4 linked regions of the Elephas maximus indicus genome follow. The protein of the gene in region 1 interacts with the protein of each later gene in a pairwise test. Links are inferred from orthologs where the notes say so. Each region holds a gene or a part of one and is shown on either strand. Other genes may lie near its edges.

The links.
Region 2: the proteins of UBE2I (region 1) and CLK2 interact in a two-hybrid assay, tested with the Homo sapiens proteins (2 studies listed by BioGRID). The two-hybrid records come from large-scale screens. The link is inferred for Elephas maximus indicus from reciprocal best matches to the Homo sapiens genes UBE2I and CLK2.
Region 3: the proteins of UBE2I (region 1) and TRIM38 interact in a two-hybrid assay, tested with the Homo sapiens proteins (2 studies listed by BioGRID). The two-hybrid records come from large-scale screens. The link is inferred for Elephas maximus indicus from reciprocal best matches to the Homo sapiens genes UBE2I and TRIM38.
Region 4: the proteins of UBE2I (region 1) and SIAH1 interact in a two-hybrid assay, tested with the Homo sapiens proteins (2 studies listed by BioGRID). The link is inferred for Elephas maximus indicus from reciprocal best matches to the Homo sapiens genes UBE2I and SIAH1.

Annotation. Positions count from the first base shown.
Region 1 is NC_064830.1:58,455,815-58,463,472, forward strand, and holds the start of UBE2I (SUMO-conjugating enzyme UBC9), read left to right. Parts: upstream 1-4,649; 5' UTR 4,650-4,789; intron 4,790-7,658. UniProt on the Homo sapiens protein: Accepts the ubiquitin-like proteins SUMO1, SUMO2, SUMO3, SUMO4 and SUMO1P1/SUMO5 from the UBLE1A-UBLE1B E1 complex and catalyzes their covalent attachment to other proteins with the help of an E3 ligase such as RANBP2, CBX4 and ZNF451.
Region 2 is NC_064821.1:193,168,981-193,176,049, reverse strand, and holds the start of CLK2 (dual specificity protein kinase CLK2), read left to right. Parts: upstream 1-4,063; 5' UTR 4,064-4,353; intron 4,354-5,914; coding exon 5,915-6,084; intron 6,085-6,855; coding exon 6,856-7,069. UniProt on the Homo sapiens protein: Dual specificity kinase acting on both serine/threonine and tyrosine-containing substrates. Phosphorylates serine- and arginine-rich (SR) proteins of the spliceosomal complex.
Region 3 is NC_064819.1:73,099,997-73,107,959, forward strand, and holds the start of TRIM38 (E3 ubiquitin-protein ligase TRIM38), read left to right. Parts: upstream 1-4,955; 5' UTR 4,956-5,045; intron 5,046-5,121; exon of another isoform or gene 5,122-5,273; intron 5,274-5,434; 5' UTR 5,435-5,672; intron 5,673-7,262; 5' UTR 7,263-7,408; coding exon 7,409-7,819; intron 7,820-7,963. UniProt on the Homo sapiens protein: E3 ubiquitin-protein and E3 SUMO-protein ligase that acts as a regulator of innate immunity. Acts as a negative regulator of type I interferon IFN-beta production by catalyzing 'Lys-48'-linked polyubiquitination of AZI2/NAP1, leading to its degradation.
Region 4 is NC_064839.1:7,688,460-7,696,234, forward strand, and holds the start of SIAH1 (E3 ubiquitin-protein ligase SIAH1), read left to right. Parts: upstream 1-4,763; 5' UTR 4,764-5,020; coding exon 5,021-5,111; exon of another isoform or gene 5,112-5,836; intron 5,837-7,111; coding exon 7,112-7,775. UniProt on the Homo sapiens protein: E3 ubiquitin-protein ligase that mediates ubiquitination and subsequent proteasomal degradation of target proteins.

The sequences.
Region 1 (7,658 bases):
TTTCTAGCAATTGGCTTTCCTGATGACATGTACAAGTAAGTGAACCAAAGTCTTGCTATCCTCGATTCTGAACAACGTTCTGACTGTATTTCTTCTAAGATTGATTTGTTCATTCTTTTGGCAGGCCACCGAAGACTAGTCCACTGGAGATTAGAGGGAGCTTGGAAGGGGAGCTGGGTGTAGGAGGCACTGGACCCAGGTGGGTCAGTGTCCTGGCTACTTGTGAAAGTCTCCATGTGCTGTGCTGGGCTGCAGGGCAGGGCAAGTGCTCAAAGGTCAGGGGTGTGTCCTTGTTCGGGCTGGAGAGCATCTCGGAGGAGGAGACAGAGAGCACCTGGACCTGGGGGCAGAGGACGAGACTGGGAGGGGATGGTGGGCTCAGGTCCAGCCTTCCCCAGCCTGCCGCCTCCCTGGGGTGACCTTGGAGGCCCAGTTTACTCATTTAATTTGCAGATGAACACTCCCTCCCATCCAGAGCTGGGCTCTGGGGAGGTGGGGCCCTCCTTCTCCAAGGCTCCCTCCTGGGAAGGGGCAGCCTACAAGGCCCTCCCCCGTGTGTCCCACCTGAGGCATGAGCTGAGACTCTGCCTCCAGGAACTGACTCCCCCAGGCCTCACCTGCTCAGGGCCCCTCCTCAGGCCCCCCCCCCCCCCGTGCGTTTCTCCTGGGCTTTGTCTTCTGCTGGCTGGGAGACAAGACTCGTGGGTCCTCCCCTTCACCTGCAAGCCCTGGGGTAAGATGTTTGGGCCAGGTCACACAGGTCTGGACAGCCTGTCATAGCCAAACCCGTTAATATTCTGCAGTAAAACTGATGAAGAGTAGATTGACAGCTTTAGCAAATTAAAATACAGGATGCCCTGGTAAGTTTGAGTTTCAGATGAATAAGGAATATTAGTACAATAAAACCTGCAAAAGCCAGAACCTGTGTAAAGTGGAAATCTGTCAGAGAAGGAAAACTCAAACATTTCCCACTAAAACGAGTGGTACAAAAGTGTCAAAGGTGGAAAACTTGCGATACCCAGAAAAATGAGGCAGGCCTGTCGAGTTCCAGCTCTCACAGATTTCACTGTACATGTAGTCCCATACTTAAAATGGTTCTGTTCCAACAACTTAGTCATAAGTCAGTCCTGATGTAAATCAAATACCTAATTTTTTAGTTTTCATTATTATTGCCTTTTATTATCAGTATCTTTATAAATCTGATCTTTATTTCTCTTTGGGGGTTGGAAACATACATGTAAACTTACAGATATATTTTAATACATACAAAAAATACACAAATCATAAAAATTTACTCCTACGAAGAAGAGTTGGACAACATTGGCATTTTGTCAGTTGTGGTAACTCACTTGTGGAAGGTTCTGGATCATCTGGATTATATCTGGGAATGGAGATGTCGTTTCTAGTCAGAAAATTAGTGAGAGTAGTCTGTATGGTCCTTTTCTTCATATATTTCCTGGTAACGTATCTCGGCTTCCCAAATCTGCCTATCGACTTTAGCAGAGCGATCAGCATTTGGGTCCATGTTGTCAAGCAACTGAAGACCATGATTTAGTTCAGAAAACAAGTCAGCTAATCCTTTCACTGTAAAATTTTTTGACAACTTCCTCATTATTGGACAGGCCTTAACGACCTTCATTTTTATATCCATGTCTAGAACCTTCCTCACCTTCTTTTTTGGATTAGAACTTTCAGCGGCTTGACTTCTTTTACTAGACATATTGTTGGGGGTATAAGCAGTACAAGTGTGAGTTAGAGAAACTTGAACAACTCAACTTCAGATTAACAACTGATGCTTCTTATGGTACCAGATGCTGAATAAGATCACACCATAGGCCTGGTCTACAATGAAGTCAGCATCAGAGTCAGAACAATGAAGCTAGAGTTGTAACCGCTGTCAGGCGCTAACGCAGCTCAATTGTGTGTGTCCTTAGAGCTGAACATTGCTCAGCTTTCTATCCTTTTAAGACTCCAGACACCAATACCGACTTCACTGTAGACCAGGCCATAGCTTGCTTTGAACAGTCAATCATAAAACTGAACATTTTAGAGTGAACATCTGAGAACAATAACATTAGCAAATTACATGCAGCAACATTACATGCAATACATATTACTAATGGTAAGAGAAAACAAAAATCCTCACAATTGGACCAATAACCAACATTATGACAAATGGATAAAAGATTGAAGTTATTAAGGATTTCATTTTACTTGGAACCACAATCAATGCCCATGAAGGCAGCAGTCAAGAAATCAAAAGATGCATTGCATTGGGAAAATCTGCTGCACAAGACCTCTTCAGAGTGTTAAAAAGCAAAGATGTCACTTTAAGGACTAAGGTGTGTCTGACCCAATCCATGGTGTTTTCAATCGACTCATATGCATGCGAAACCTAGGCAATGAATAAGGAAGACCAAAGAATTGATGCCTTTGAATTATGGTGTTGGCGAAGAACGCTGAATATACCATGGACTGCCAGAAGAACGAACAAATCTGTCTTGGAAGAAGTACAGCCAGAATATTCCTTAGAAGCAAGAATGGCAAGACTTCAACTCACATACTTTGGACATGTTATCAGGAAGGATCAGTCCTTGGAGAAGAACATCATCCTTGGTAGAGAGTTGGTGAAAAAGAGAAAGACCCTCAACAAGATGGGTCAGAATTAACTCAATGGCAGTGGGTTTCAGCATCTGAAATTCTAATTTAACTGGCTGTACTAGTCTCTTAAGGAGCCTTGATGACAAGAGTTAAGCAGCTGCTAACAGAAAGGTCCGAGGTTCAAACCCACTAGCAGCTCTACGGGATTAACGATTTGGCAATCTGCTCCTGGTAGAAATTACCCTATGGGGCAGCTCTGTCCTGTCATATAGGGTCACTATGAGTCAGGATGGACTTTAAAGACAAGTGACATTAGTCTCCTGGGGCTTTGGTAGCAAAGTACCACAAATTTCGTGGCTTAAAACAACAGAAATTTCTTGTTTGGCTAGAAGTTTAAATCCAGGTGTCCACAGGCCATGCTCCTTCTGAATGCTCTAGGGGAGGATGCTTCCTTGCATCTTCCAGCTTCTGGTGTCCCCAGGCACTCCTTGGCTTGTGGATGCATCACTCCAGTCTCTGCCTCTCAGATCACATAGCCATCTTCCCTCTGTGTCTCTTGTCTTTTATAAAGACACCAGTCACACTGGATTAGGACTTCTCTCCAGTCACATTTACTTCCTCAGAGCAATAGGATGGATGGAGTGCATGGGGTTCATCCGGAGCACCCACTGAGGGCGCTGTAGGGGATAGGAAGGTGGACCACAGACTTCAGGGACCCGACAACCTCAGCCAGGGGACTCTGGAGGAAGGAAGGAGAGAAGGACGACTGGGGGTGGAAAGAAAAAGGGAAGAAGGGCAGAGAAAAATGAGGGAAGGAAGGAACGGAAAGGAGGAGAGAAAGGCTGGAGGTAGAAAAGGAGGGAAAGAGGTAGAAAAGAAGAATAAAAGAGTACCTAACAGTAGAGCACCTCAGGCCGTCCCTCCCCCTCCTCGGCTGGCCTCCCCTTCCCAGCCATCCAGCCCACAAGCCCCCACCGTCCTCGGAGCTGACACCTGGTGGAGGGGGGATTCTGAGAACATCTGTCCCTTCTGACCCCAAAGCGCCTCGGATTACAGTCCGGAGGCGAGTTAACCCTGAAGAAGGTGCCCTGTCCCCCTCTGTGAAGTTCGGTCTCAGAAGCCCAGCCGGCTTCGGGGCGCTGGGCTCTGCTGGGAACGAGAGGCTACAACGACTCCGACGAGGGATGAAGTCGCAGCAGGGCCACTTGTTTGCGAGCGAAACTTCCATACTTTCATTCGTTGCAAACACCGAAGACTCGAGAACTAGACTCTGGGTGCGCGGAACGGGGTCCTGCGGGCAGCGCCCCTCCCCCGCTGCCGCTGCCGCCGCCGCGGCCTCCCCTCCCCCGCTGCCGCCGCCTCCCCTCCCCTACGAGCCCGCGGTCCCGCGCCCCTCCCCCACCCAGGGCCGGCCCCCAGGTTAGGGACCATCCCCACTTACCCTCCCGTCGATCCTCCAAGCATTCGGCTTTCTGTACGGCCTCAGCTCATTGGGAAGATTCCAGGGACGCCCCGGCCAGGGTCTCGAACTGGCCAATCGCAAGAGGTTTCACAGGGCTCTGTATTCGGGGGATCGTCACCGTCCTGCGACGCTTGGGGGTTCCTTAGGCCTCAGTGGTCTCTGCCCGCCAGCGCCGGACCTTGACCCCAAGGAGACCCCCAGGATATATGCCCGGAGAGGTATCCGCCGGGCATCCGGGGAGCTCTTGGCGATCTCTGTCTCCCATTTCCCCCCTTGCTTGCTGGCGTGTCCTCGGGTGGACGCGCGCTTCCCGAGGAGGAGTTTCTAGACGCTCCCTCAAATTGGGGACGCGGCTCCTTTAAGGGCGCAGGTGTCTAGGCCTTCGCCTGACGGGAAAGTCGGCGCCAGACCGGGCTCCCGGGGAGGGCCCGGGCCGCGGGCGCGCGGCGGACGGCCGCAGGCGGCAGAGGACGCACGGTAGTTTGAGCGGCGCGGGACGTGGGGCTGCAAGAGCTGCGCGCGGGCCGGGCGCGCGGCGGGCAGCCCTGCGCAGGCCCCGCCCCGCCCCGCCCCGCCCGCGCCGGGGTCCTCGGAGCTGCTCAGGCTGCGCGCGGAGCGGGCTCGGGAGAGAAGTCCCGAGACAAAGAGAAGAGCTGCTGTTTCCGTCGCCTCCGTCGTCGCAAGGCTCTCCGCTCTTCGCGACTCGCCGGGCCGCGGCCGCCGGAGGTGAGCGCGGCCGGGAGGGCGGAGACCGCGGGAGCCTCCGGCCGGATCAGGCCGGGCGGCGCTTGGGCCACGGGGCGCCGGGCCGGCAGGCGCGTAGGGTCGGTGGGGAGGCCGCGGACTGCGGGGCCTGGCCGGGGTCGGGCGCGGGGTCCTAGGGCGGGCGAGCGGCCTACCCCTCCCGCGCCCGCCCGCCCAGCGCCCGCCTCCCCGATGCCGGGCCGCGGTCGGGACCCCGCAGTCCGCGGCGGACGGGGCTGGGCTTTCTCTCACCTTCTGGAAGGGGCTGAGAGGGAAGGTTGTCTGTGCTTCGAAACTTAATTCTGCTCGCCGAGTTGTGAGCTGCCGGGCTACGGGATGAGCTTCCGGGCCGTCCTGCCTTCGTTCCCAGCGTGGGGTTTTTCGGGTGGACAGCGTCCCCGTGGTTCTCTGGGGTCACGTCCCGGCCGCGCTCCTGGAGTTCCCATCACTTTCTTTCCTGAAAAGGGGGGAACATCCTTCTCTCTGGTGCGCCAGGCGGCCTTGCAGAGGTGCTGTGTGGCGCGCGGAGAGCGGAAAGGAGCCCGTAGCTCCGGAGCTGGGAGAGCTGAGGCCGGTGTTGACAGGAATGCGGCTCTGGAGGACGGCCGCACCAACCCGAAGCGCTCCTTTACCTTTGGGGAAATTAATTTCCGGGGTCACAGGGATGGACAGCAAACGTCTGGCGTCTTCCAGCCAGGGACAGAATGGACAGCAGGGAGTTGAAAGTCTTTCGTTGCAAAATCGCGGGCCCCTGGTGGGGGAGGCACGGGGGGATGCTGTTTGTGGTGTCTTCAAATCTCAAAACAAGGCTAAGTTTTCTTGCTGCTGTAGCGGCTGTCCGTGTTGTGGAGTTGGTGGGAGTCTGAAGATGAGCGCCTCACTTTAGGGAGAGTTTTTAAGATTGTTTTGTACCACTTAAATGGTGGTTGGAACTGGTAGGTAGTTGAGTAGGAGCAAGGGAAGGGAGTGATTAGTTGGGCGCTTGCTGGGGGCCTCCAGTCACCCTGAAATCCCAAAATCAACTCTTTTGGTTTTTGTAATCTTAAATTATGTTTAGTTCTTCAGTTTGCAAAGTTACTGTATTTTTTTTATTTCTATTTTAAAGATGTTTCACCTAAATGTTTTTTGCTACAGGAGAATCTGTGAGAGCTGGAACTTGACAGGACTATTTTGTTTTTCCTGGTCTCGCAAGTTTTCTGCCTTCGACAGTGTGCAGTCACCACTTTTTTGTCGTTCTCTATTAGTGAAACCCAGGTGGCATAGTGGTTAAGTGCTGTGGCTGCTAACTAAAAGGCTGGTAGTTTGAATCCATCAGGCGCTCCTTGGAAACCCTGTGGGGCAGTTTTACTGTCCTGTAGGATCTCTGTGAGTCAGAATTGACTCGATGGCAATGGGTTTGTTTTTTTTATTAGTGAAAAATATTCTTAATTCTTTTTTTCTGACAGGTTTCCACCTTACACAGGTTCCGGCTTTCGCAGGTTTACTGCATTAAGAAAATGTTGCTTTGGCATGGAGGACCTATCCAACTGGAAGCAGAGATTGATCCTGTGTTTGTTCTGATTTTTCTACAGAGAAATCCGACCCCAAACCTCTTCAGTGGTTAAGCAATGAATTCTGCACCCTCATGTGCCAGGGTGGAAATACTGGGTTTGTCAGCTGTGTCTCGAGGTTTGGGACCTTGCTTCAGAGACAGCCTGGGGTCCTGAGGTAGATCCACGAAAGAACTGGAGGGGTGCAGCCCAGGCATGAGGTTCTCCTGAGTGCCGGGTGCTTGGGCCTGCAGAGGTGGGTGCTTTTGTTTATGCCCCACCTGGTCCCACATGGGAGTCCCAGGCTTGGAAGCCTTTGGATTTGGATGGAGAAGGGCCAAGGCAGTGGGTTTGGGTTTGCTGGTTTGTTTTTTCTTTATCTGTTTCATCTTTAGTAGAATCCAGGGCTTTAAACCAGCCACTGCTGAGAATTTGCATTTCTAACAAGTTTCCTGCTGAGAGTTTGCATCTCGAGTTCCTAGGAAGTTATACATAAAAATCATGTGGGGATCTTGTTAAATGTGGATTCTGGTTCAGTGTATCTGGGATGGAAAAGCCCTGGCTATCACCCTTTTTGCAGATGAGTCAGTTGAGGTTGAGGAGAGATAAGAACCTTGCCCTCACTCCCACAGCCAGGAAGTAGCAGTGAAGTTCTCAGCTAGCGAGGCCTCATCTGAGAAGAGCCATGTTAAGAGGCACAGCCCCGCTGGAAGCCCAGGAGGATGGTGGAGGTGCAGGTCTTGGAGGCTCTGCCTGGGGTCCGCCCTGTGGGGTGTTTTTTACCCTGCCTGTCTCTAGCACTTCACAGTGAGAGCCTTTGCATCGTAACCGTCCTGCTCTGAAGTGCCTGGTAACGCTTAATACTCGTTAACTGAGTTTCCTTGCATTGAGGAAGGTAGATTCGATGATTTTAAGTGGGATTAGGATCGTGGCTACTTGTTATAATTAAAGATGTAACAATTGCCTGCATTCTCCTGACAGTGGTGGTTTTAGGAACGGACGGGCGGATCTTGGGGGCCCAACCTCTGCCTGGGATGGGGGTGGGTTTGCACCTTTAGTTCTTTGTCTTGATGCTGAAGCATTCTTTCTGTGTGTGATCTGGTCCATCAGGGTGGGAAGAGGGGCTCTTGGGCTCTTACAGGCACCTCTGGCACTGAGACTTTGCAGAACTGCCCCTATTATCTTTCACATGGTCAGAGGCGCCAGGATGGGCCTCCCTGGGCAGCTCTGTTCCATTATTGGAGCAGAGGCTGTGGCAGGTCCGGCACAGGGACTCCCAGGATCGCCGTGCTGCCAGCTCCTGAGTTTTACTTCGGCCCCAG
Region 2 (7,069 bases), on another chromosome or scaffold:
GTGTGTGCGACAGACTCGAGGGCGGGCGGCCGGCCGGCTGCGCTGCGCCCCCTGGCGAGGGCTGCGCGAAAGCCGGGCCGGGTGGGCGGGGGCGGGGCCGGCGGCGCGCCATCCCGGGAGGGGTGGGGCCAGTGGAGCACGTGCCTCGGAGGACTCGGGAGGGCGTGGCTTCGCAAAACAGAGGCGGTTCTCCAATTGTTCGTAGACAGAAGGGCGGGGAAGCGAAGCCGGGGTCAAGGAGGGGGCGTGGCCTAGAATCTAAGGACTTTTATCCACGGAGAGCCAAGCGGGTGGAGCCGCCTGCATGCGGCGGGAAAACCGGACGCCGGTTGTATCTCAGGAGACTCGGGACGACGAGGAACTGGGCCCCAGTGGGAGAGGCGGGGAATAGCTTTTAGGATTCTTCTTCCTCCCCCTCCTCCATGGACTTCTGCCTTCCTGCATTTCACCTTCTGTCTCTCAGCTCTCTTCTCCACGCTGCTCCCCCTCGTATTTCATTTCCGAATGCATTCTGCCTACCTTCACCGTGGGCGACTCTGTCTGGCGCTGAGTGGATGCTGAGGATAGAAAAATGAATACGAAAGTTCCAACCATCCAGACACTGCTTGTCTGTGCCCGCTGACAGACCCGCGAACAGGTAAATTACAGCGCAATGGGACATTCAAGGAGTTCCGGTGGTGCAATGGTTAAGGGCGCTTCGCTGCTAACGGAAAAGTTGGTGGCAGATTAACAACCTAGGTAATCCTATGGGACAGTTCTAGTCTATCACATGGGATCCCTATGAGTCAAAATTGACTCGACGGCACCCAACAACAACATGGGATGTTAAGTGGTATAAGTTCCTAAATATCTCAAACTCTTCTCATTTCCATTTCTTATTGCCAGTGTGGCTTTACTTCGAGCCCTCAGCACTGTTACCTAATTTCAGAAACCTCTAAAAGGGTCTCTAACCGCTCTCTCAACCCAATTCTTTTCACACTCTGCAAGAGTTACCTTTCTAAAATCCAAATGTAGCTGTATCACACCCTTGCTTAAAGTCCTTCAAAATTCCCCACCTTCTATAGGATTATGTTTGAACTCCTTAGCATGGCATACAAAGCCCTGCAATATTTGGACCTAGTTTCAACAACATCTGACAATCCCTCTCTTGAAACCCAGGGTTTCAATCATGCTAAAATGCTGCTACTACGACCACCACCACCATTTGCCATCAAATTGACTCCAACTCCTGACAAACTGCAGTGAAATGTATCACTTTTATGTGGCCTTTCTAGCCATGGTCTTGTAACTCACAACAAATAAGTGGGCATGACTACACACATAAGGAGCTTGTAGCCCTCCAAGGGGATAGGACACCTTGCTAATAATAAAAATAAGGTGCATGGCACCCTTGTGGGGTTGGGACCATGCAAATAAGGTGTATGGAATCCTAATGAGGGAATTGATCAGTTTTGCCATTCCACTAGGCTTAAAATGAGCTATCCCAGAGGTGGAGTAGGGGGGGGACTTGACTACCACCAAAAAGAAGAAATGGGAGCAGAGTGTGTCCTTTGGACCTAGGATCCCTGCACTGAGGCCCTCCTAGACCCAGGAGACAGAGAGAGAGACCTGTAACACCAGAGACGGCAGGACAGTGAGAAGCAGTGGCAGAGAAACAACGGCAGCTGAAGCAGCAGAACCAGGAGACTGGCAGGAAACAGCACAGTGAGCTTCCTGGTCACCCACAGAGCAAGAAAGCTGAGCACCTTCGAGCAGAGCACCTTCTGGTAGAGTGGGGTGCCTCCAGGCACTTATTGGTGGAACTAGGCTTGCTGACCCACTGAGCAAGAGAGTTAAGCACCTTCGGGCCAAGGCTTACTGGTGGAATGGAGTACCTCCAGGCATGTATTGGAGGAGCTAAAGAGCTTTGTAACACTTGCCCAAGCAGGGTAGAGGCTGGGCCAAGGGGCCAAGAGAAAGAGAGGCCTACCTGTGGGCATGGCTGAGAAGAGGCTGTCTTGATTGATCTAAGAACTGTATCGTGAATTATAAACTCTTACTGCCCTAATCAACCCCCTAACTGTGAGTATGGTCAGTGAGTTCTGTGTGGCTATTGCAAGGAATTATTGGACACAGCAGAACAGTAGAGAGTGCCCTGCGAGGGACGGCTGGTATCAGAATTGGTAAAAGGTTGGAGGGTGGTGGTATGTTTGACCTCCACCATGTAGGAATCAGCCTTGGGCTGTTGATGCTGACAATGACCCTCTCCCCCTTGTGAAGTTAGAGGAGGTCAGATGCCTCCTAAGCACCATTTTTACACAACCCCACATGTGTCAGAGTAGAACTGTACTCCACAGGGTTTTCAATGGCTGGTAGATTATCATTCTGCATTTCTTCAGAGGGGCCTCTGGGTAGAATCAGACTTCCAAACTTTTGGTTAAGCCAAAAAAAACCAAACCCACTGCCGGCGAGTCGATTCTGACTCATAGCGACCCTAGGACAGAGTATAACTGCCCTTATAAGGTTTCCAAGGCTATATAAATCTTTACCAAAGCAGACTGCCACATCTTTCTCCCGTGGAGCAGCTAGTGGGTTCAAACCACTGACCTTTCAGTTAGCAGCCAAGCGCTTAACCACTGTGCCACCCAGGGCTCCCTAACCTTTTGGTTAAAAAAAAAAAAAATTTTTTTTTTTTTTTAGGAACCAAGAAATCCTGGCAGCTCCCTGAAATGCTTTGTTCTGTCTTGTCTCCAGCCTTTGCGGAAGGTATTCTCCTCCAATTCACTTTCCACCAGTTGGTTCAGATCTCAGCTCTTCTAAGAAACCCAGAAACACATTCTCAACTCTCCTTCCCCAGGAAGGGTCTAGACTGTTGTTTTTAGCTGCCTGAGTCAGCCCCCTACTCATGGTGACCCCAGGCACGGTGAAACAAAATGCTGCTGGGTCCTGCAGCATACCCATGATCGGTTGTAGATCTGACAGTTGCTAGGGTCTGTCTAGACTAGAGCTGTCTTACAGCAGCCAGGGCACCACTGTTCATAACAGTGCTTGTCACATGTTCACCATTATTTGTTTACAGGTCTGTCTGTGCCATTAGATTGTGAAGGTCTGGTGAACAGTAATCCTGCGCCTGGCATGATGTTGGACACATAGTAGACACTCAGTAAAGGCTTGTTGAAGAAATGGTCTGGGAAAGGTGTTCATGGAGGAGGAAGTGAACTCTCCAGTCCTTCATCCCAACGCCTTAATTACACTTCCTCCCCTATTTTACAAAAGTTCTTCTCCTAAACTGTTTCTACGTATAATTGGTCTAATCTCAATCTATTCCCTATCCCAGCCCCCCTCTTATATTCTTTAATTTTAATAAGGCAATCCTCAGGTTATTCTTTCATTTCCCTTTCAACCTTCCTTTCTGACCATTTTTCAATTTCTTCTATAGCGTCTCTGACCCTTCCCGGTTTGTCTTAAGGTCTTTCTCTTTTCTGCTCTATTTTTTCAATTCAGTAAATTTATACTTCTCACACATTATGTGTAAAGCACGTTAAGATACAGTTCTCAAATGATTTCCCTCTTTAGGATATCTGATTCTCCATCCCTGCATTTCTGAAACATTTCCTCCACGGTCATGTCCCCCGCTGCCACATGTGCATAACTTTGCTCAGGACAAAAGGTCGAAGCCCCTCTTTCCTGGGCTTAGGTAGGCAAAATGTTTTAAGCACCGGATGTTTTCAGGCTTGGAGAAACAGAGCTGACCACGAAGCCTCACAAGAGTCAGAAGGTTTGCGGAGCGGCAACACTTTGTTTTATTTTACATCTCCAACCTAACTACGTAAGCTACAGCAGTCTGGATGAAAACGGCACAGGACTGAAGAGCCAGACCTCTTCGAGTGGAGCCGGCTTGGCAGGTAAGCAAGCGCGTCTTGCGACCCCCTCCCCGCCCCACGGACCGCCGCCCCCGCCTTTCCCCGCCCCGACCGGCGGGCGCTGCAAGCTACGTGAGCACGCGGCGGCGTGCGCGGCCCTGGGGCGGAACCCAGGGGTAGCTGGGAGGCGACGCAGGGCGTGCGTGCGTGCGTACGTGCTCGCTCACAGTGGCGGCAGCGGAGAGGAAAGGCCAGAGCCGGAGACTGAGCGGGGATCGGGCCCCGGGCTGGGGCGTTGCGAGCGGCGCCGACCGGATCCTGGGGGCGGGAACGGAACCGGGGCGGGCGGGACTGGAGCGGAGCCCGGGAACGGGGCGGGAGGTCCCGGGGTCCCGGGTCGGGGGGGTGGAGCCGCACTTCGTCGCCGCGGGGGTGCCGGGACTCCGGCCGCAGTGCCGCCGCCATCACGGACTTCCTGTGGGACAAGCGCACGGGCCTCGCCGCCAGAACGGTGAGCGCGCGGGCTGGCGGACCGCGGGGCCGTGCGGAAAGATGGCGAACGCGGGGGCGCGCCCTGCGGGGCGGGCGGGGATAGGACCGGATTGGGGGCAAGGGACTGGGGCAAAGATTGGGAGGAGGATGCAGAGCTGCAGAGGTGGGGAGTAAAGAGATGAGGTGGAAGCAGGTCGGTCTGCCTTATATATATCCAAGAACGCCTATAGAAAACTTGGGAGAGGCAAGAGTAGGAGAAGGGGTGATGGAGTAGGGACAGAAGCTCCAGAGATGAGAAAGAGTAGAATAGCGAAGTTGGACTAAGCTGAGGAGTAGGACAACATAGATTGTCACTTTGAGGATATGGCGTCTGACTCTAGGAGTGAGTTCTGGATTTTTCGAGTGAGAAAGGGAAAAAAGATTTAGAAGTTGAGACAGATCCTAGGTTAGATATGCTCTAGGGAGAAAAGGCCTGTGCGCGTCCTTGGTGGCAGTGTGGTTGTGGTGAGATGGCACTTATGCTAAGCAAGGTTGGATAACCAGGGGTATTCTTTTGCTCGCATTTTCTTGGTTTTCTCTCAGCTCTGTTACAGTAGGACTGAGTCAGCTATCACTCTCTTTAATTCGAAAAGGTTGGGAAGAAATGGCCAGGAATGGGTGTCATGTGTTGGTGTCATTTAGCTTTTTCTACACCTAACCCCATGTCCACCCGAGACTTCTGTCCCCGGACCCTCTCATTTCATTCTGCCCTCCTCTTCCCTTCTTTCTGGAATGTGACAGTGATTTCTCTGTGACTTTCCCTGAAGAGAAAAAAAGATCTGTGCACCATGCTGTTCCATCCCCAAATAACTTGAAGGTAGCTAGCTAGCTCTAGGCCAAGTAGTGCTAATATTAATTAAAAACCAGTTATTCTCTACTTCCCAAGTACAAGAGGGGTGGGGCCAGGTAGGAAGCTGAGACTTGACATTAAAACCTCTCTAGGGGATTTGGCAGAGATACTTCAAGGGGCCAGGCCCAGATTCTTGAAACTTGATTATATTTGGTATATACTTGCTATGTGTAGAAACCTGGAAAACTGGATTCGTGCCCTCAGGACATGGATGGTCTCTTTATGGAGATAAGATACTTAAGGACTATAAAACCTTTGTCAGAACAATTACAGTAAAGCTAATGTCTATTGAGCCTGTTGGCACAGATCTGTCTTGGGTCATAGCCAAGGATGAAGGGTGGCGGTCTCTGTCAGTCACACAGTCTCACCTGTAATAGAGCTGTGGCCCAGACCTGAGGGCCTTCATGGAGCCATGTTTGAGGAAAAGCAGGGTAGAGGAATGAGTAGAGATGGGGTAATTGTGGGATGGGAGGAGAGCCTATTAGAATTTTCAGCCAGATTTAGTAGGTGAATGTGTACCTTAAGTTTGAGAAATTGTAAGCACAGAGAAAGACTGCAGAAGTTGTGGGTGGTAAAAAGAAATAGGGATAAAAGAGCAGAAAGGCCCTTAGGATCTCTGGAGCACTGGGTCCTTGGAGGGGAACTTTGATGGGAGCTTTCTCCACTATTTTTTCTTTTCCTTCCTTTCTAGATGCCTCATCCCCGAAGGTACCACTCCTCAGAGCGAGGCAGCCGGGGGAGTTACCATGAACACTATAGAAGCCGAAAGCATAAAAGACGAAGAAGCCGCTCCTGGTCGAGCAGCAGTGACCGGACAAGGCGACACCGGCGGGAAGACAGTTACCACGTCCGTTCTCGGAGGTGAGGCCTCAGGAAGAGAAACTCAATCTCAGGTCACGCACTGTTCAAAAAACACATACTGGTTCCGTGCTAAGAGCATTGTGCAGAACAGCTGGGTGGAGATGATGTTCAAGGTGGCTAGCAAAATAAAGCATTTGCACTGCATTGGTAATAGCTGTTATCATAGGGGAAGTACAGAGCCTGGGCTGAGGAAGCACCAGCAGGTTTGGTTGGGTGAGATAAAATGTGTAGTTCAGGGGATTTCCCAGAGAAAGTGACATCTAAGCGTGTCTTCAGTTGGAATAGGAATCAGACTAATAGGAGTCAAATGGAAGAAGTGTCCCAGGCAAAGGGAAAACATGTGCAGAGGCCTGGGGGCTAGAGGTAGCTGATGGTTTAATAAGCAAGACAAAGTTGGGTCTATATAGTTTTAATAATTTCAGCAGTATTCAGGAATGGTTTGGAGCAAGGCTGGATTTCAGTTGGGGAGGCTGGAGAAAGAAATGACTATTGCAGTGTATCACTGGAGGGGAGGAGGAGACCCCCAGAGAGAGTGAGTACTCTGCAGATATCTTTTCAGAGGCCTTGGTGACATACAGGTGTGGGCATCCTCCCATTTAGTCAGCTCACGCTTCTGGTTCTTGGCCCGCTTGGAGCACCATAATAGGTGTCTGGGGGCAATTTTTCGAGCATTACTCTTCATTGTTCTTACTGAGGGAGGATCTTGTCACATGGCAGAAATGTGGCTTGAACACATGTACCTAATGGATGTTTTTTTTTTTTGTCCCATAGCAGCTATGACGACCGTTCATCTGACCGAAGGGCGTATGACCGGCGATACTGTGGCAGCTACAGGCGCAACGACTACAGCCGAGATCGGGGAGAGGCCTACTATGACGCAGACTACCGGCATTCATACGAATACCATCGGGAGAACAGCAGTTACCGCAGCCAGCGCAGCAGCCGTAGGAAGCACAGGCGGCGGAGGAGACGCAGCAGGACGTTC
Region 3 (7,963 bases), on another chromosome or scaffold:
TAAGTATAACACAGCTGTACGTTTTTATTCTACTGGGGTATGTTCCTCCTCAACTTATATAGATTTTGCTGATCAATTAATCTAGCATTACTTGTATTAATGTTAAGGTTATTAAAAATGTAAAATTGTGTGTAACCAAATTGATTCACGATGCTGACAAATTTTATTTCAATACTAATTATGTTTTACGTAGTATGTCTGCATGAAGATCATTAGGTAACTTAAAACCTTGAACTGATATTAAATTGAGTTAATCAATGGATATACATTGGATGCCTGGGTCATTTCTAAGTAAGATACAGCATGGGAACATTGATTACTTAGCACAATTTTAAGTTTATATTCTTGTGTTTCTTTTATGTTCTATAGAAAGACTGTATTTTGGGGCCATGTTAATGAAGTGCTTGTTTTTGCTACTTTGAGAAACTGTATAAGGGGTGTGTGAGGTTGTATAAAGCTGTGCTGTGTGTATTCACGAGCTCTGCTAGTCTGCCAAAACATGTAACTGAGTTTTCAATTATCCACCACCTTATTTACTGTGTGAAATGAAAGTGACTTTGGCTAAAAGTTATAATTAACATAAGTGTTTGAGAACATTTTTAAAACAAAACCAAACATGTTGCCATTGAGTCAATTCTGACTCACAGCAACCATATAGGACAAAGAAGAATTGCCCCATAGGCTTTCCAAGGAGCGCCTGGTGGACTTGGACTGCCGACTTTCTGGTCAGCCGCTGTAGCTCTTAGCCACTATGCTACCAGGGTTTTCTGAGAGAATATAATTTAGGAGCAATATTTTCAGAGAAACAAAACTATGTATATGCTATTTTTTCAAAGAAAAGAGTAATTTTGCCTTAAAGCAATGATTCTCATCTTTGGGGAGTTTTTTGTTTTTGTTTGTTTTGGTCTCCAAGCCTCTTCAAACTTTCTGAGGATCCCAAAGAGCTTTTACTTTGTAGGTTACAACTATTTATGATTACTGCATTGGAAATTTAAAAAAATGAGACATTTTTTAATGCTTATTTTTAATTCATTCAAAGAGAGCAATGCTGAACACGTTGCATGTTAATAACATCTTAGCAATATTATTACATGAATTCTGACCTTATGGACACCCTGAGATTTGTCCTAAAGTGTCAATTTGCTCCAGAATATGAAAGAGTATAACAAAGGACAAAATGTAGAAATGAATTTTATTTGTGTTGGCTTGTAATACCTGACTGAAAAGTTCTGAGATGTGTTAAAATGTTAGCCAAGTTTGCTCAGTTATGATGGGCTTGTTTCCTTGGCCTATTTTTTATTGCTTTTGCCTAAAATAGGAACAGTTATTCTTTTCCTTTCTAATTTGCCTAGGTAGCAAATATTCTCTTTCCAGAATAATTTCATTTGCTCTATGTTGTCTTTTTTTTTTTTATGTTGTCTTTATTTAAGAAGACAAATAAAGGTTCCTCACTTAGCAATCTTTGTTTTTTATTGTATCATCTTTTACAAACTTGAAAAAAAAGCATTCTTGGCTCTAGAGCCATACAAAAACAACTGGCTAGATTTGATCCAGAAGCCATAATGTGTCAACCAATGAATAAAGAAAATCTTTAAAACACGATCATTTTTATATCTGTGTGAGATTCATACTTTACCTTCAAAAGTATTTTTTAACACCTATAGCTGAGATATAGATGTTGACGGCACTGGGTATAGCTGAGATCTGTTTCCCTCTGGATAATGTGAATTATTCCCACGCACTTAGCATGATGCCTACTGCAGTACATGCTTAATAAAAATCTGCTGGCTCCCATGTTGTAGGAGTCCCTTCTACGCTCTTCTACTGATCCATCTCAGAGGCGCTCTCTTGGTTTTGTCTTCTGGATTTCCACTTGCCACCAGCTGGACTCACACCCACACCAAAGCACCAGAGCACAGAAGATGGACATCTGCTTCTATCTCCACCCCTCCCACAGCTGTAACTGTATGGCCAAAGTATAAACTAGCCTTTTTTTTAAAAAAAATAATTTTTATTGTGCTTTAAGTGAAAGTTTACAAATCAAGTCAGTCTGTCACATTTAAACTTATATACACCTTACTACATACTCCCATTTACTCTCCCCCAATGAGTCAGCCCACTCCCTCCTTCCAGTCTCTCCTTTCGTGACGATTTTGCCAGTTTCTAACCCCCTCTACCCTCCCTTCTCCCCTCCAGACAGGAGATGCCAACACAGTCTCAAGTGTCCACCTGATACAAGTAGCTCACTCTTCATCAGCATCTCTCTCCAACCCATTGTCCAGTCCCTTCCATGTCTGATGAGTTGTCTTCGGGAATGGTTCCTGTCCTGGGCCAACAGAAGGTTTGGGGACCATGACTGCAGGGATTCTTCTAGTCTCAGTCAGACCATTAAGTCTGGTCTTTTTATGGGAATTTGGGGTCTGCATCCCACTGTTCTTCTGCTCCCTCAGGGGTTCTCTGTTGTGCTCCCTCTCAGGGCAGTCATCGGTTGTGGCCGGGCACCATCTAGTTCTTCTGGTCTCAGGATGATGTGAATCTCTAGTTCATGTGGCCCTTTCTGTCTCTTGGGCTCATAGTTATCCTGTGACCTTGGTGTTCTTCATCCTCCTTTGATCCAGGTGGGTTGAGACCAATTGATGCATCTTAGGTGGCTGCTTGTTAGCATTTAAGACCCCAGAAGCCACACTTCAAAGTGGGATGCAGAATGTTTTCTTAATAGAATTTATTTTGTCAATTGGTTTAGAAGTCCCCTTAAGCCATAGTCCCCAAACCCCCGCCCTTGCTCCACTGACCTTCGAAGCATTCATAAACTAACCTTTTTAGCAAAGGCATGTGATAGCTTTACTGTCTCAAAATATTGAATTTAGAGTTGCCAGACAAAATACAGGATTCCCAGTTACATTTGAATTTCAGATTTTTTTTTAATTAAAAAAAAATTTTTTTTTTTTTTAATTTGCAATAGTTGGGACACTCTTATGCTAAAAAATTGTCATTTATCTGAAATTCAAATGTAACAGGGTTTCCTCTATTTTTATTTGTTAAGTCTGGCAGCCCTATATTTACTGAGAATCTATTACACTCTAAGTTTGGAACCCACCAGGGGCTCCGTGGGAGAAATACGTGGCAGTCTGCTCCCATAAAGATTACAGCCATGGAAACCCTATGAGGCAGTTCCACCCTGTCCTAGAGTATTGCTGTAAATCAGAATCAGCTGGAAGGCAATGAGTTTATTTCAGCATAGGGGATTGTAGTGAAGTCGAGAGAATTCAGGACTGATCAAGGAAAAATATATAATTACTAGATAGCAGTGTTATGCAGCAAGAGATTATTGGGGCCAATGTATTAACAGCTGCATACAGCGGAGGTCTCCACAGCAGAAGGTCTGCCAGAGGCACCTTAAGGAAAGACGGCACGAAAAACCCCGTGAAAGGGAAGGGGGTAGTTTATGTGTTCCTATGTGATGTCCGCCTGCAACAAGCTGGGTGGTCTCTGGGTCAGAGGGCTCTGAAGGCAGCAGCATCTTTGTAGTCTCATAACTACAAGGCCAGCAGATGTTGGCTGCAGTTGTACGGGGTATGTAAAGCAGGCAGGCTCTAGGTGGCTAAAAATCTGCTTATTTGGACTTTTTTTTTGAAACAATTGAATATTTGGATATTTGAGTTTGGTGCCAGCAGGCTTTTTTTGGGCTAACGAGTCTCAACTTCCTATAAAGAAGTAAACAACTTGGGGCCATTCCACAGAAGCCATCTTTAGTTCATTTATATGACAGGGACACAGCCAGGAACAAGACAAAATACCTCCCTCACAGAACAGACTATTAAGTGGAGACAGGTTAATAAACAAATTCACTGTTGTGTTAGCTAGATGAGCGCTAGGTAGAAAAATAAAACAGGGTAGGTGGGTAGAGAGAGTAAAGTTGGATGCTGGTTTTAGCAGAGAGTCAGGGAAGACTTTTCTAACAAGGTGACCTTTAACAGGAAACTAAAGCAGTGGTTAAGAGTTAAGGCTGCTAACCAAAAATCAGCAGCTCGAATCCACTAGCCACTTCTCGGATACCCTATGGGGAACTCTACTGTGTCCTGTAGGGTCACTATGAGTCGGAATAGACTCAATGGCAGTGGGCTTTCAGTTAAGTGAGGGAGCCAACTGTGTAACTATAGGGTGAGGGCACATTTCAGGAAGACAGAATGGTAAGTGCAAAGGACCTGGGTCAAACCAAAACCAGTCACCATCAAGTCAATTCCAACTCATGGCGACCCCATGTGTGTCAGTGTAGAACTCTGCTCCATAGGGTTTTCAATGGCTGATTGTTTAGTAGATTGCCAGACCTTTCTTCCAAGGCACCTCTGGGCACACTCCAACCATCAGCCTTTGGGTTAGCAGAAGAGCAGGTAACCACTTGCACCACCCAGGGATTCCCAAAGACCTTGGAGGGGGGTTTAATTGGCCAGTTCCAGGAATAGCAAGAAGGCCACATGGCTGGGCAGAGTGAGAGAGGGGAGAGGGGTAGGTGTGAAGTCTGAGAGAGGCCGCTGGGGCATCCTTGCGTAAAGCTCTGGAGGCCTCGGTTAATCTTTCTAGGTGCTAGAAAGCTGAGCTTTAAAAGAATAAAAATAGCACCGGTAGAGTTGTAATTGCTCGGGGGTGCAGTTGTTCAGCTATTATCTGAGGAGCTTGTTAAGAGCTGTGTTTCAGGAAAAACAAACAGGGAATAGGTCGAGATATCCCAAACTGGACTCTTGTTTCTCAGATGAACTCTTCCCTGCCCAATTCCCTGGAAGGATTCTCCTGCCTACATCTAGCCCCATGGATGCAACCAACTGAAACTCAGGAACATCACCGGTGAAAGGAAAACTGCTAATTCAAGAAACTGCCAGGATTCGAAAGTCCCAAACCGAATGGCTCAGAACTGCCTCGGAGGACGAGCTTTACTTTCTGGATCTGTCTCTGCCAAAGTTAATCAGAGTGCTCAGACCCAGCAAGTCTTCCTGCCAGCGGACGTTGGGCCCTCCCTTGAGCGCTGCTGTGAGAAGCGTTTTGAGGAAGTAAGTTTATAAAGCTAGCTTTTTTGTTTTCCCTCCACTTCAACTTCACTGTTTCCTTCCGGGATCTTTTGGGGCTCCGCCTTCCACAGTGGTTTCACTTCTGAGTTTAACCCGGTCTGAGTTAACTTCTCTACCCACACTCCGAAAGTGGCCGCTACAGAGGGGACTAGCAGGGAATATGTGACGGTCGGCTGTGGAGCAACGAACTTGGGAAAGGCCCAGGCCCAGGTTTTCTTGGTGGAGGGATATGATTTCTGCGTGTGTGAATGTGTGTGTGTGGGTGAGGGGTGGGGTAGGTACGCTTCGTGGTGCGAGAGCCTCTCCAAATCTGAAAATCGTCAGAATTTTTCCTTATAGCTCTCACTCGTGTTTCCTTTCTCTTTCACCAGCCCTCCGTGCCACATTTCAGAAGATCCGGGTTGTGAGGTGACTGAAGGCCAGGACAGCACCCTGGGACTTCAGAAGAGGGGAGGCACTTCTTCCCTAGCAGCGCAGCAGCCCGGGCAGAGAGGGGCTTCGTGTATCCTTTGATAGAAATCATCTGCCGAGGAATAGAATTCTCCAAGATGACACTCTGTGTGGCTCCAAGAGAACGGTCCTGATTATCAGAGGGAAAACACCTATCCGGTAAACCAAAACCATTGCAGTTGTGTCGATTCCAACTCACAGGGACCCTATAGGACGGGGTAGAACTGCCCCATAGGGTTTCCAAGGAGCGGCTGGTGGATTGGAACTGCCTGCCGATGTTTTGGTTAGCAGCTGAGCTCTTAACCATTGCGCCACCAGGGCTCCATAGATCTGTTAACTTTAGTCAAAATCCTGTTTTTAATTCCAGGCTCAGTCAGTTCAAAGGAAAGGTCACTTTTCGATTTTTCTCCCAAACTCTCAGGGATGGGAAGAGGGAAACAGGACTAGGTTCCTGAAACAGCTGCAGCAGGGGGTGAGAGGTCAGATTCCTTTGCTGTCTCTGGTGGCTGGGTCTTTACTGATGGACATTAGGGGGTCCAGCACCAGGGATCCCACAGAGGCTTGATTGCCCCCACCTGCCTCCTTTCCCACCTCCCCCACGTCCTGGCCACGCTTGCCCACAAGTTCTGCGAACTCCCTGTGCTCCAATCACCCTGGACTTCTGGGAGGCAGTCCTGACCTGGAGAAGGGACAGTCAAGGCCCTAGTTCTCTGGGAGCTCTGCTCCCCAGACTAACCCTTCCCCTCTCTATCTCTCTTTCTAGTACTCTCTCCCTAAGTACCATGAAAGGAGCCCTGGTGGCGCAATGATTAAACACTTGGCTGATAACTGAAAGATCAGCAGTCTGAACCCACCAGCTGCTCCACGGGAGAAAGATGTGGCAGTCTGCTTCTGTAAAGATTACGGCCTTGGAAACCCTGTGGAGACTCCTATTCTGTCCTGTAGGGTTGCTATGAGTCAGTATCCACTCCACAGCAATGGGGTTGGGTTTTGTTTTTTTTTTTCCCAGAAGTAGCAGGAGGGAGGTTGGAAAAAGGACAAACCGGTTCTTCTAGTTGCCTTGGTTATTTTCATATTCCCCTGGCGGGTCTCCACTGAGACTTTATTAATCTCCGGAATTTTTTTCATCTTGGAGTGAGGGCAGGGTAGAGAGATCTGGGCGTGGGGGATTCAAACTTGATTATGTCAATGGAAACTTCACAAAACCAAAAACCAAACCCACCACTGTCGAGTCAATTCTGACTCATAGTGACCCTATAGGACAGAGTAGAACTGCCCCATAGAGTTTCCAAGGAGCACCTGGGGGATTCGAACTGCCCACCTCTTACTTAGCAGCCATAGCAGTTAACCATTACTACACCACCAGGGTTTCCTAGAAACTTCACAGACCACTTAATTACTCCAGTGTTGCTACCAGTCAAAAAGAGAATTCTTGATGTTCACTAGGATGTGAAAGTTTCACACTCCCTCACTGATTTCTCTCTCTTGGGGCAACTTCTGTGAGGACACCTTCCTTACTCCTCTATTTGTCTCAGCACTTGGTCCAAGAGAATTTTTGCACTGATGGAATGTCCTAGATCTGGGCTGTCATATAGCCACCAGCCACATGTGGCTACTAAGACTGAGAAACTGAATTTTAATTTTATTTCATTTTAATTAAACAGCTATATGTGGTAATAGCTACCATATTAGACAACACAGCTAGATGTTTATGCATCTTCTAGATTCTAGTCCATTTCTTCTCTCTAGAAAGAAGACTTTAAGACCCGTGCAGTCCAGTGACAGCCAACTCATCACACAGAGGCTCATGTGAGGTGTATTTCCATCACTGTTGAAAATTCTGGCTGCTTTATCTCTGCTTCTAGATCCACTGTTCAAGGTTTTTAATAAAAGCCATGGCCTCAGCCACACCTGCAAAAAAGATGAGGGAGGAAGCCACCTGCTCCATCTGCTTAAACTTGATGGCTGACCCAGTGAGCATCAGCTGTGGACACAGCTACTGCCACTTATGCATAGTGGGCTTCTTTGAGAACATAAGGCACATGAAACCACAGGAAGAGAAGTTCTTATGTCCTCAGTGCCGAGCCCCCTTTCAAACGGCGAGCGTCCGGCCCAACAAGCAGCTGGGAAGCCTCATTGAGGCCATCAAGGAGATGAACTGTGAAATGGTATGTGAAGAACACGGAGAGCAACTCCACCTGTTCTGCGAAGATGAGGGCCAGCTCATCTGCTGGCGCTGTGAGCGGGCACCGAAGCACAAAGGGCACACCACGGCTCTTGTCGAAGATGTAAGCCAGGGGTACAAGGTGAGTGTGGGGGCCAGAGAGGCTCGCCAAGGCCTGGTCTCATGCTGTTCTCCAAGACCTGAGATTGTTTAGTCTGAAACCCAAGATTATGATCCGGAAGTGCAGCTTTCGTTGTGTCATTCTTCTGAAAAACAGTTTTGATGG
Region 4 (7,775 bases), on another chromosome or scaffold:
TCCATTAAAAAAGGAACCAAACAAATCCCCTGGGCCTTCAGTCCTCTTCACAGCCACTCTTGAGGCTTGGGCTCACACATCATTCCCTCCAGCCTTCTGCAGGCTGACTTCCACCCCAACCTATCTCCAGAGTTGCACTTGCAAAGGTCACCAGTGACCTCCCATTGTCAATCCCGGGGACGTCTTTTAGGCCTGATCTTACTTGACTCCTCATGGTTGATTTTGCCCTTATGTTTTCTCCTCCTTTACCGTGTGATTTTTTTATTATTTGTATAGTTATTTGTACCTTGCCAAGGCTGATAGCATTTGCATTCTAATGTGTAATTGTAACACCCACAGTTCAGGGTTAGTTCTGTATTGTTGACTGACTTGAGTCTATAAAAATCCATTTCTGAATTAGCTGATGTGATTTCTTCAAGTAGTTTTCTTAAGAAGGACTCACGGGTGCTATATTCCTTGGATTCTTGCATGTTTATTAAGCATGTCAGCTTATTATTCTTAATTTTTTTTATCCGATTACAGAAATAACACAAATTCCTTACAAGAATATAATAAAATCATATTTATTCATTCTTCTGTTGATACAGATGTGAGTTTTTATAGGCCTGTCTTCCTAAATCCTTATCTTCCCTTGGCTTCAGAGATATTAGGCTCTAGTTTTCTCCCACTTTGGATGTCCTTCTCAGCTCTTGCTACTTAAATTGGTCACTTGCGTTGGCCACACCTGGGAGCTTGCGTGTTAAAAATCTCAGGCCCACCTCAGCCTACTAAATCAGAATCTGTGTTTTAACGAGATCCCTAGATGATTACTGTTATTGCCATTTTCAGCTCACAGTGACCCCAGGTAACAGTAGGGCTGCCCCATAGGGTGTCGTTGGCTGTAATCTTTACAGAAGCAGATGGCCAGGTCTTTCCACTGTGGAGCCACTGGGTGGGTTCGACTGACAGCCTCTCAGTTGGCAGCTGAGCACTTAACCATTTGTGCCACCAGGGCTCCACTAGATGGTTAGTGAGCACAGTGAAGTTTGAAAATTATTGTCGTCTAGGGGTGATTACCTCTGTCTTCAGTGAAACTTTAAATGTTGGATTTTTTTTTCTTCTAATTTTAGGCAAGCTCCTCTTCTCTGTGTCTTCAGATGTCATCTGTATGCCAACAACTCAAATCTCCAACCTTGTCCCTCTTTGTATATCGGCTGCCTTATGACAGCTCCTCTCAGACACTGCACAGGCATCTCACTTCTATTTGGCATTTTTCAGCATCTTGCATAGTACCTAACAGGTGCTGAGTAAGTATATGCTGTCTTTTGGCAGAATACGTGGTCAGGTTGGAGATTTGAGTCCACTCAGAGGCACCTTGGAAGAAAGACCTGGGGATCTGCTTCCCAAAAATTCAGCCATTGGAAACCCTATGAAGCACAGTTGTACGCCTGACACACATGGGGTCGTTGTGAATTGGAATCTACTGTATGGCAACTGATGCTTACTGGTGTTAGCAGGCATGGAAGCTTCAGAGTGTGGTGATTTTGGGTCGTGAAAAGCAAATGTACTTTGCTCTACACACTTGAGTTGGGGTTTTCCCTTTCCTTTACTGTATTATCATGTTTGTTCAGACCTCTATCACGTATCAGGTCCTTTGCCCCCCTGGCTTTTCCCACTCAAATCATCTCTTTTATTAGACACATAACTTTTCTTCTGTAGCCACAAAGTTCTGAGGATTATTTTCAGGAAAAAAAAAAAATAAAAGGAGTTTTTAGGAGAAAAAATACATAGTACTTAAAAAAAAATACCACATCACTTTGCCACAGGTCTGGAAACTAAAAACAGGTGAATTCGTTTTCCTCAACATTGTTATGTTTATAACGAAGTTTGATTTTTGACTTCGTGTGTTAAGCTGTTGAAGTTTTGAGACTTGCCTTAATTTTTGTCAGAGAAGAGAAGCATTTTTTAGCATTATAATTTAACCGACATTTTGTACATGCTGTGATACCTGTCCCCACCACGAGTTGCCTTGGAGTTGGCCCTGACTCATGGTGACCCCGTGGGCATTAGAGTGGAACTGTGCTTCATATGGTTTTTCACTGGCTGATTTTCAGCAGTAGATTTCCAGGCCTTTCTTTCAAGGTGCCTCTGGGTAGACTCTTAACCTTCAACCTTTTGGTTAGCACCTGAATGTGTTAACTGTTTGCACCACCCAGGGACTCCAGCTATCACCATATCATCCAAATGTAGAAGCGCCCTTTTCACAAAGAAGAGTTGAGAGGAGGAGGAAAGCCCTAGATGTTTTGGATTGAGGGATTCAGTTTAACCCAGTGATCACTAATCTGACAGCTGTAATTTTATTTTACTATAAACCTCACTGTGTGATTTCTAGGAATGTTTGGTTTGCAATTTGCTTTATGATAACATCGTGATCTCTTCCCATGTCTGACTACTTTTCTTCATTCTAAGCTTTTAATTTTAAGTAACCATTAGTTTCATATTGCTGCTGTAATACATGGACACCTTTGGAAGGAGGGGGCATTACTTGGGGGAGCACAGTAACATTTGTAAACTAAAAGGAAAGGGTAAGCAAAACATCGTGGATTAATTAGAGTAGCCAGGCACTGGGTTGTGACAAGTCAGAGAAATTCTTAGTCATTTATAAAAGGAAACAAATAACTGCCACATGAAATTGAGAACAAAAGTTTAAATCCATCTCTTCCTTCTGCTTTATGTTAATATGGCAGAGCAATAGTTAAATGGTCTGACTGTAATAAGATGCTAATATGTTTTGATTTAGGTTAAAATCCATTTAAACTTTATACCTAACTGGGTTTGATTGAAATGTAGGCTTAGAAATGGTAGGTAATAGCAAACTCTTGTTAAGTTTTGAATTTTTGCTAACTTTGGGTTCTGTGTGCTTGCCTTAATGAAATGTTTTTATGAATTTTTCTAGCTCTAGTGTAAAAAAATATTGTACATAGTTGAGAAATTCTACTAAGGTTTATTGTGCTAAAAATGAATTCAGTAAGAGCTTGTTTGCTAACTAAAAGGTTGGCTGTTTGAATCCACCAGGTGCTCCTTGGAAACTCAATAGGGCAGATCTTTTCTGTCCTGTACAGTCTCTCTGAGTCGGAATCGAATCGATGACAATGGGTTTGGGTTTTTTTTTATAATGTACGTAGAGAATCCCTGGTGGTACAGTGGTTAAGCACTCAGCTGCTAACCAGAAGGTTGGCCATTTGAGCCTACTAGCTGCTCCAAGGGAGAAAGATGTGGCTGCCTGCTGCCTTAAAGATTACAGCCTTGGAAGGCCTATGGGGCAGTTGTACTCTGTCCTGTTATAGGGTTGCTATGAGTCGGAATTGATGTTGTTAGTGGGCATAATGTACATAAATTAGCCATTTTCCCTTAATTTAGACAAAAGCCTGTGAGGCTGAAAGTATTATCCCAGTTTTACAGCCTGGATTTGAATTCAAGTTTGACTCCAAAACTCTCCCACTTTTTCTAGATTGAGGGGTTTGTCTTGTTTTCAGAGTGCTCTAGGGGTGTGTGCTGCTCCTTTGGGAGCCATCAGCTTACTTTAGATGTTAATTTTATACAGAATTATTAATTACGTTTGGAAAAGTGTCGGTGCCTAAAACGTTTGAAGTCTTCCCTGTATCCCTAAGACTTATCTAGAATGAATGGGTATTAGAAAGTAAAAATGCAGGTAATAGTAATTATATTTGCATGTGGGAAATGGGCTATATTTCTGGTTATATTTCCTATATATTCCTAATGATGTTTTGTGTAGCCTAATATTAAATAATGAGTTTGAAGTGCTTGCACCCACGATTTGGGGGAAGGGGTGATAAGTTAAACTTGGTTGCAGAAAAGTGAGCAGTCTGCGTTCACCGCCCGGGGTTCCTGGTCCTGCTGCTTCCACAGGCTTTGCTAAGCGTGATGCAGTGACAGGTTAACAGGCTTTTCTAAGCGTTATACTAAAAACCAAACCAAACCCAGTGCCGTCGAGTCGATTCCGACTCATAGCGACCCTGTAGGACAGAGTAGAACTGCCCCATAGAGTTTCCAAGGAGCGCCTGGCGGATTCAAACTGCCGACCCTTTGGTTAGCAGCCGTAGCACTTAACCACCACGCTACAGTGACTGGTTAACAGCCTTTTCTAAGCGTGGTGCGGTGACAGGTGAGACCTCTGAACGGCTGCCTGATGCAGTGATGTCGGATGCCCAAGGCTTCATTGCGGCAGGGCACGTGGTGGTTTAAAAACAAAGCTGGCCGCTGGGAGTTGAACGAGGCAGTGTAAGCTGGCTTTCCCAGCGTGGCAAGAGGCTACAAGGGCCGTTTGGAGGTTAAAGCAGGAGTTTTAATTGAAGCGTGCGCACACCTGAGGCCCCGCCCCTAGTGCGGAGAGGCAGTGGGCGGGGCGTCGTCGCGTCCCCGTGGCTCCGCCCGGCCTGCGGAGGAGCGTCGGCGCGTCCCTGTGGCACGGCCACCTCCCTGGGTGCCACCTCCCTGGGTGCGGCGGGGACTGGGCCGGCCGGCGGCGCCGCAGCTTGGAGTTCGGCATCACGGTTCGGGCGTTGCAGCTTCCGCCTACAAATGGCTCTTCTTTCCCTGTGGGGTGGACCCTGGAGAAGCTCCGGACTTGGAGAGCGCACTTCCTTTTCCAGCCACCTCTGCGCACCCCTGTAGGCCCGTCCTTTGCCCGGTCTTGGCGGGAGCCCCACTCATGAGTCTGGGGAGGACAGGCTCCCGGGATAGACGGTTTCGGGCGCCGCGGGCAGCTCAACGATGCGCCCGTGTTTGGAGACACAGGCGACTTAGAGCGAGCCCGGAGTGTGGTCGCGCCTGCTCGTGGTCGCCCCTGCTCGGGGTGGGAAACTCTGATTCCTCGTGCCTGTGCAGAGTAGGACACCTGCCGTTGTTCCTGTAGAACCTGATCTCGGGCTCGAGCTGGAGTCTTCCGGGCTTGGGAACACAAGGGGGTGTCCGGAGGGGCCTCTGTGATGAGGACGCGCCGTGAGCAGCCTGACTTCTCATGGCGGGGAAACCTGCCCTGCCTTTTCTCTACTCGTTGGGGGGAGGCTTGTTCCCTTGTCTGCCTGCAGCTAGGACAAGGGAGAGAAAAGGTACTGGCTGGGTTGCTTACATTGTGGGACTTGTATGTTGTCAAGTCAGTGGAGTCTGCCCGGATCAGCCCCACCATGATAACAGCGCTTCCCGGGGTTAGCCGGGACGTTCCATTTGATCTCGTTTTACATCAAACTTGAGGTTTTGTTGTAACTTCTGCAGGACTGTCAAGACGGTTGAGCCCTTGGTGCTTACTGCAAAGCTGCTGTATGGCTGGGGACTGACTGGGTCGCACCTTTGGAGTTCTGGGGTTTTGGGCAGCTACTTCTCTGTAACACCTCCACCACATTTCACTTGGAATAGGAATACAAATTGTACCTTCTACGACGTTTGGAAAAATAATTTGTTGTAACATGATCGTGAACTATCGGTGAATGCATAACGAACTAGGTCAAGCAATTGAACAACAGTGTTTTTCTTGCTTGGTAGCTCTATTATGTTAAATTACAATTTCAGTTTACGGGCCTTCGATGTCCTTAGTTGTATTGGTTTAGTGACCCGAAAGCCCCTGCTGGCTTGGCCTTGCTTTCTGCCCAAGCAATCACTCCGCAGTGTCCTGTTGTTCAGCGGGCGCGACTTTTAGGGTGTTGTGTGGCAGTACTAAGCCCGTTGTCTTACACCTGACAGTGGGTAGATCATCAGATGCGCAAAGAGCCTACATGGAGGGGAACTGACTGACAGAGCTCTCTGGTCCCCATGTTGGGATAGAACGTCAGGGCTTCAGGTGAGCCACGTTCTGAAGGGATTCTGCTGTGCTTCTGTTTCCCCTCAAACTTTAGGATATCCTCTTATTAACCATGGAATTGATCTTTTTTTTTTTTTTTAATACCCTTAACCTGCATTTAAGGTATCTATTGTTAATCATTTGAGTAATCTAGACCCCAAATCGTATTTACCTGGTCATATTGGTAACAAGCATTGTTTCTTAAAAGATAAATTCTTTGCAATGGAGTAACAGTTATAACTGAGAGGAATCAGTAAATTTGCTGTACCTTAGTGTAGAGTTATCGGCATTCTTAGGACAGGAGCAGATGATTGATCTTCATCATCCCTCCCCCTAGACAGTGACCTGCCATATCCTGGCAAAGGTAGATACCTGGGGAAAGGTGCTTGTTTTTGATCTAGGCTGACTAGGTATACTGTTGATCGTTGCTCCCAGGTAACATTTAGTTCTTCAATAATGTTTACTATTACACTGCTAACAAGTGTGTCGGCAGCACAGGTGAACCTCAGGGTGCAAGGAATCCTTACCCCATCGCCAGTGTTCTCTGTGCCTCTCTGGTGCTTTTATATTTTTTGATGTGGAATGAACAGAGTGATTTATGTTAAACTCATTGAGGATGGCCCTTCCATTCTCCTGTCGGCTCTCGTTTTTGAGGAGGGCACTGACCCCTAGGAGACAGGATTATACCTAGCCATGTTAGTGTTTCAGGGAGCTCTCTTAGATGATGCTGGGATGGCAGCAGGCCCTTCCTCTCAGGACTGCCTCTCCTCATCCTCCAAATATACCACTAGAACAAACACTGTTCACCCTTCGAAGCGTTCATGTCAGTACTCTGGTGGTTCCTTGGCATTTGAGCTGTCGGACTCACCTGTAACTCCTATAACTATGAGCAGCTGAAAGGAAAGCGACTGAGTGGGGTTAACTGAATTCAGAGGGAGGATTTGTGATTGGACTTAAGCTGCTCGTATGGTGTTTCCTAGTTGTTTACAGTTCAGTTTCTCTTTCAGCATTTCATTTCTTATTCCATGTGGTTTTGGAATTGGCAGTGAAGCCCATTTTTCTTTTTTTAAAAAAGCAATCCTAAACATATCCTGGAGCGTTTTGAAAACAGTAGGACCCTTAATGATCAGAATGCATATTTAGTATAATTTAACCCTATTTATTTTCCTTTGTTCTTCTCCTTATAGTAAAAAAATTTCTGGCATGTAAATATTATTTGCAAAACAAATGACAGTTGTAACTCTATTTTTATTTCTGTGTTTTTATTTTTTACAGAAATGAGCCGTCAGACCGCCACAGCATTACCTACTGGTACGTCAAAGTGTACGCCATCCCAGAGGGTGCCTGCCTTGACTGGCACAACCGCATCCAACAATGACCTGGCGAGCCTTTTTGAGTGTCCAGTCTGCTTTGACTATGTGTTACCGCCCATTCTGCAGTGTCAGAGTGGCCACCTTGTTTGTAGCAACTGTCGCCCAAAGCTCACGTGCTGTCCGACTTGCCGGGGCCCTTTGGGGTCCATTCGCAATTTGGCTATGGAGAAAGTGGCCAATTCAGTACTTTTCCCTTGTAAATACGCCTCTTCTGGATGTGAAATAACTCTGCCACACACAGAAAAAGCAGACCACGAAGAGCTCTGTGAGTTTCGGCCTTACTCCTGTCCGTGCCCCGGTGCTTCCTGTAAGTGGCAGGGCTCCTTGGATGCTGTCATGCCCCACCTGATGCATCAGCACAAGTCCATCACGACCCTGCAGGGAGAGGACATCGTTTTCCTGGCTACAGACATTAATCTTCCTGGTGCTGTTGACTGGGTGATGATGCAGTCCTGTTTTGGTTTTCACTTCATGTTAGTCTTGGAGAAACAGGAAAAATACGACGGCCACCAGCAGTTCTTCGCAATTGTACAGCTGATAGGAACGCGCAAGCAAGCTGAAAATTT